2 linked regions of the Daphnia pulex genome follow. Each later gene encodes a partner of the first gene's protein in a complex. Links are inferred from orthologs where the notes say so. Each region holds a gene or a part of one and is shown on either strand. Other genes may lie near its edges.

Region 1 (2,916 bases):
TAAAATAAATCTGAATAATGGGGGCGTGTACAGGCTGGAGGAAAGGGTAGCTTACAACACCTCTGTTTTGTTTTTTGTCTTTGAGCTGAAATAAAGTATGTCTACACCCTTAGGGTCTACTAGCGAAATGAATTTCGAAACACAGACACAATACCATAGCTGGATTCATGAAATACATGGCGGCCTTATATACTCCGTCAATTTGGACCCTGAGGGTGAAAAATTTTAGTTTCAAAATACGTTTCGCTCTTTAGTATGCCCATCGGCATTAGGTCCCGCGGAACGGGGCCAAAATTTTGGTCCGTTTCGTACAGCTGTTCCGCATTTTAAGCGTTTCGCTTTCGCAGTTTAGGGACGCCCCACGATACCCAAAACGTTCTGCTAATCTGTTTCCGAATTCCGGATTTTCCACTACCTGCCAAATACAAAGTGTTTCGTTGAGTATGATCAATGTCAACTCAACAACATTTCTTTGACATGGAACATAGTAAAATTGAATCTTGTCTTCATTACATTCATGTATTACAAGTCTTCCTACTTTTCAATACATATCTTTGTATTGGGGTATATTCTATTAGAGTGAACGCTTGCCAAACTTAGCTGGTTGCAAGGGTAAATCATCAGGGACTGGTAGTGGCGCGTCCGGATATTCTTGCTTTTTCACTTCAGGTCTTGGTCTCTCTGTGTGATGAACTTTTACTTCAGAAAAGTAACCAAAATACGGACGTTCGATTTTCAAGTTATCAAGCATACACTTGTCAAAGACTGCTTGTGTTTTTCTACACCTAATAATTACAGAAGCAAGAAATATTCAGGATAAGAAACAAAACAAGATTAAATAAAAGTTCTGATTGAAAATGCCAATAACTTATAGCTTACGGTTTAAAGCTGAAATCAGGACTTGAGCGATCCAAACAATTTGCAAATTGTGTGAACTCAACTGCACAATTCTTTTTAATCTTGCGAAAAAAATCAAGGGAACAGGCAGTAACAGCTTTTCCTTCATTCAGACATTTACGAGGATCCTGACATTCTTGACGGCAAAGCATAAATTCCTATTCATAAAAGAACAAACAATCTTACAATTTCTCATATGAAAAGTTAGTTGGCTTCATATTTCAGAAAATAAATAAAAATACATGATTTTCATGCATGATAAAAGATTAAAACCATGATAAACTGTTGTGCTTAGAAGTTGATATCAAATTATACATACATTGTTAACATTTTCACATGCTTTGCCCATATGAAAAGATGCAGCCCTCAGTCCTGGGGTACTAATTTCTACTTCTTGAACTGTTAATTCTTCTTCACTCGGAATGGTTATTTCTTTAGTTAAAACCATTACTGTAGCGTGAAATATTTGTCTCACAATTAAGACGCAGAGGGAAAGTAAAATATTTAAATTTACAGTTGAATAAATCGTTTATTCTCTACAAGTCAAGAGTCTCAACTCGTCAGCTGTTGCTCTCAGCTGTTCATCGCAACGCCATCTGTCCGTAGAAGGGTATAAAAGTCTATTTTATTTTTACCTGCTCCGCACCAAAAGACTAAAAGCAGAGCTATAGATGTTATTCCAAGGAAAAAGTAGTAGTCGAGCAAAAAAAGTCGTGCGCAGTTTACGCCGATGCGCACCACGGCGGCCGATAGCAGAACGAAAATTGTTATTACGCTTGACACCCTATGTAGACCCAATCCTTTGTTCGACAAGCAGACGGTTGATGGAAAACCTCTGACGAAGCCTTATGGACATGGAGAATTCCTACAGGGTCGCGTCAGCCAATTTGAGCACATTGGGCGTGGCCGCGTGGGGATGTCAGCGGAGAAGGATAGCAGGCGGAAAACGATACTGTTTATTCATTTTACCAGAAAATGCCACATAAAAGGTAATACGAAAAAAACCAGCGCAACTCCGGGACTTTTCCGTGCTATTTATGAATTATGAGTGTTGACACTCATCTACTTTTTTTTTCGAATGTTTCGGCTGTGTGGGAATCGCCTATCGTCTCTGTCAACCCTTAGAACAAAACGCGGCTGTGATGAAAAAAAGTACAGGAACTGACTCGGAGAATAGTACTTGCAAGTATAAAATGCTTTGCTGGTTGGTTTGATACGTTTTCATTAATTTTCCTACACGATTGGCTAGCACGATGGGAAACTCTCCTCCGACGACCACATTTTTCCTTCCAGAATAATACAAACAAGATAACTGATTAAATAGAAAATACATTTTAAAGTCATAAAATATAATTTAAAAATAAATGGCCGGAAATGGCAAGTGTTTTGATTAGAGTTTATTACATATGAAGACATCCAGACATAGAAACTGTTTAGAACTAACATCGAGCTCGCAATAGAAGCGACGACTATTTCATTGATTTATGGTTGGAATTCGACTTCTTCATTTTAAAAAGTAAGTTCTGACTTCTCATCATCACTCGTCAGAGATGGTAACGCGTTTCGGAGCCATCAGAAAGCATGATAGCAACTGTTTTGCCACTGTGCCACTGAAGACGAGCCATTCTCAACGGTATCGTACTTCCAGGTCTTACACACTGCGGCACGGGATCAGTGGTGTATGTTTTAACACAGCGTGTCTGAACCGCTCCCAATCCAAACACACCCGTCGCCGATTGCTACACAAACGGGAACAAACAATTAAACATGTCGAATCATTGAAAATGTTGCTGGTGCAGAGACGGGTCTATTTGAAACACGTGTTTCTTACCTGCCAAAACGACAGCCTGTTCTCTGTGCTAGAGTACGACGCTAAATTTTTCCCGTCAGGCGAAAAGGCGCAAGCCGTTATCTCGGCATTGTGTGCCTGAATGTACTGTATGTAGACAAGCGATTACAATTGATTCATTATTTGAGTTTAACGACAAGACTATTTTGACAGACTCCAAATCTCGAACG
Region 2 (2,811 bases), on another chromosome or scaffold:
AGATTTTCCTACTAAAAACAAAAAAGAAAGAACATCTTTATCTATATATGAACATTAAAATATCGATGAAATTGTGTAAATGGAAATTAATCGTGGTGTAAAAATACGAAAAACGTCAAGAAAGGATTTAAAATCGAATCGAACCTTCTTACGCCACCTAGCCTTCTGTTTCTGAATCAATTGAAGGAGAAGAGTTTGAATGTAATTTTCATTAACTAAAATCTTTCATTTGTGTTAAAAAACGCTATCACGATTACTTCACGTTACCACGTTGACTACTTCAGAAAATTCTTAACCCTTTGATAATTTCTTTACATCATAAAAAAGTTCAAAAACATACATAAAAATAAGTAATAGAAAACGAGATCCATACCTACTGATGTCTTCAGATGTTTTTGATTTATTTTGTCCATTCCAACAAGTATGTTCTGTCCATTGTTGGTTCAACACTTGGATCTGTTGTTGAGCTCCAGCTAAATCTTGCAAAACTTTTTTTCTTTGAATTTCACAACTTTCATGACTAACAGAAAATTTTGCATTGGATATTGTGTCAATCAGTGAAAATAGCCTTTGTGTCACAACATTTGCTTGGCCCATTCTACTAGACTCTTCATTTGAAATCATCACCTTTGTTTCACTTATGATTCCAGGTACTTGTTTCTGTTAAGTATTGTAAAACCAAACTGTCATTTAAATTTTAAAACAAAAAATTATTAACTGTAAATATATCAGCAGTACCCTGTAAAATGACACTTCTTTTTCCAAAGCTTTGATGTAGATTATCTGCTTCTGAATCATTCCAGTTAAAATGTAATCTGAACTATTTCCTTCAATCAAAAGTCCACTTTTTTGAGGTACTGGGCTCTTGAAGAGAGCTTTACGAGCAGAAAGTGATTTTGTCTCTGAATTTTCTGATGAAGAAAGATCACGTCTTATTTCTGATGCCTGTACACAAAGAACAGGAACCAATTCAGTTTTGATTATACCATTAGAAATAGTTAATACAACCTTCAATCCACTTCTATAAATTTGTTGATCTGAACTATCACTTTCAGACAAAAATTGTTTAAGTTGATGAACCGCTTTGTAGTATTCATCTGGACTATCACTCTTCCGGAAATCCATTTTTGAAGTTTTTGTCACTTAAGAATTAAGACAAGTATCAAAAGTAGTAGTTACGTAAACTGAAAAATATCACCAGCAGTGAATATGTTTGTTTTGATTTGAATCATCTTTTGCAATTCCATTTTCACGTCGCTATGACAACGACAACTGCACTTTGCTGCAGTTGCCATACATTTATATTAATTCAATAAACTCACAGAAACTAAAAAAAAGGTATCAAAATAACATCCCTTATTCCTTTGAAGTTTGAACAGTAAGAAAATATTTTTATCTTCAGCATTAATATTTTAATTACCTTCTCAGAAAATTTGTGATTATTGCCATCTTCCGCCAGATGGTGATTGTATAGCTGATTCAGGTGTTTACAACAGACAACAGTATCCAGCTGTTAGCAAAGATGGATGCCACCATCAAGCAAGATTTGCCACCTCCTGGAGGATATGAAAAAATTCAGTATGCTCGTAATCCAGCAAAAACATTCTTTAGAGGTATGTCTCGATTACATTTTCGTGGAATAGTTTTGATTTATTTACCTTCAATGTATGTGGTTTTTTATGTTCAAATAGTACAGACCTTACATCTTAATTTGCTAATTACAATATTTTTACAATGTGTATACAGGAGGAAGGTTGCTTGCTGGATTTATAATTCTCAATGGCTGCACCACCTACTATTACTTTAACCATCTTTATCCTGGAATTCTCCATCGGAGGGTTGAAAAAAAAGGTTCTCACTTAGCAACCTTGCCTTTGCTGTTGGCTGAACAGGATAGAGCGTAAGCATTAATTTAAACTATAAATTTCATCAGTATACAACAATCTAATTCTTAGAAGTAATTTCCTTAAATTTTTTGTAGATTCTTAAAGCACTGCAGAGCTTTGCGAGATGAAGAGGAGAAACTAATGGCCAATGTCCCTGGCTGGGAGGTATGCATATATCCTGTATTTTTGTAATTTTTCTATATTAAAAAAATGGTCATCATTTCATTCAGGTTGGCAAGTGGAATGGTCAACCAATTTTTAAAACACTTGATAAGGATGTTTTTTCTAATCCAATCCTTAGTGAGTACTATTGCCATGCCCCTTATATGGATTTCTACAAGAAAGCTATGGAAGAGGCAATCCAAGTTTAGTTTTCATTCCTGATGTAAATGTGAAAACAGGAAAATCTAGTAATGAGTATTGAATGGTACTGTGCGATCTTTGAGTTTTGGAGATGTTCTCTTTTAGTCTCATAAATTATAATTATGATATGCTTGAAGGTTAAACATTGACATCTAGTCAATTAAATTAATTAGGTGAAACATATTTAAAAAGGAGTTTAAAAAAACAAGTTTTATCATCTGTGGAGAAAATATCAAGAATTTGGCCAAGAGGCATGATATAGTCGGATGAAGCAAAGACGTTGTAAGCTTTACGTTGTCTGCATTTTTTTTAAAGCTAACCTCCACCAATAGACGTGAGGCATCATTAATTAGACTTTCGTGTTTTATACGAACATTTATTACTTAACATAGGTAGTGGGGAATGTTTTTAATGTACCGTCTGATTTTATTTGTTTCTATAGAAGAACAGCACCAGCCGAATATCAGAGAATTGTAGGTTGAATAGCAAATTTAAAGGTCTAGTTAGAATGACATTTTCATTGCCCAATATAGGATACTCCAATTCCGCAGAGAGCTGTGTG

Evidence for each region. The genes of interacting proteins can lie anywhere in the genome.
Region 2: the proteins of NADH dehydrogenase [ubiquinone] 1 alpha subcomplex subunit 8-like (region 1) and NADH dehydrogenase [ubiquinone] 1 alpha subcomplex subunit 13-like are in contact, whole or in part, in a cryo-EM structure (PDB 8ESZ), measured with the Drosophila melanogaster proteins. The link is inferred for Daphnia pulex from reciprocal best matches to the Drosophila melanogaster genes ND-19 and ND-B16.6. Residues at the interface, in NP_001163296.1 of Drosophila melanogaster: Val2, Ile3, Thr4, Asn5, Asn6, Thr7, Thr8, Leu9, Pro10, Glu11, Glu12, Leu15, Asn16, Val17, Gln18, Glu19, Leu20, Leu27, Arg28, Ala31, Phe32, Leu34, Gly35, Asn42, Phe45, Met46, Arg49, Asp54, Pro55, Arg56; in NP_001284943.1 of Drosophila melanogaster: Arg63, Asp64, Ile66, Glu67, Met68, Ser70, Ala71, Asn73, Val74, Ile75, Phe76, Pro77, Ile78, Val80, Ala81, Glu82, Arg83, Asp84, Arg85, Phe87, Leu88, Arg89, Leu91, Arg92, Arg93, Arg95, Val110, Gly111, Val118, Glu124.

What each region holds. Positions count from the first base shown.
Region 1 is NC_060020.1:9,014,402-9,017,317, reverse strand, and holds NADH dehydrogenase [ubiquinone] 1 alpha subcomplex subunit 8-like, read right to left. Parts: upstream 1,505-2,916; 5' UTR 1,346-1,504; coding exon 1,217-1,345; intron 1,056-1,216; coding exon 880-1,055; intron 786-879; coding exon 575-785; 3' UTR 501-574; downstream 1-500. Other genes in the region: WD repeat-containing protein 7-like, read right to left, coding at 2,442-2,636, 2,729-2,833.
Region 2 is NC_060018.1:5,771,347-5,774,157, forward strand, and holds NADH dehydrogenase [ubiquinone] 1 alpha subcomplex subunit 13-like, read left to right. Parts: upstream 1-1,453; 5' UTR 1,454-1,522; coding exon 1,523-1,613; intron 1,614-1,746; coding exon 1,747-1,900; intron 1,901-1,981; coding exon 1,982-2,051; intron 2,052-2,116; coding exon 2,117-2,257; 3' UTR 2,258-2,311; downstream 2,312-2,811. Other genes in the region: paramyosin-like, read right to left, coding at 374-660, 739-945, 1,009-1,125.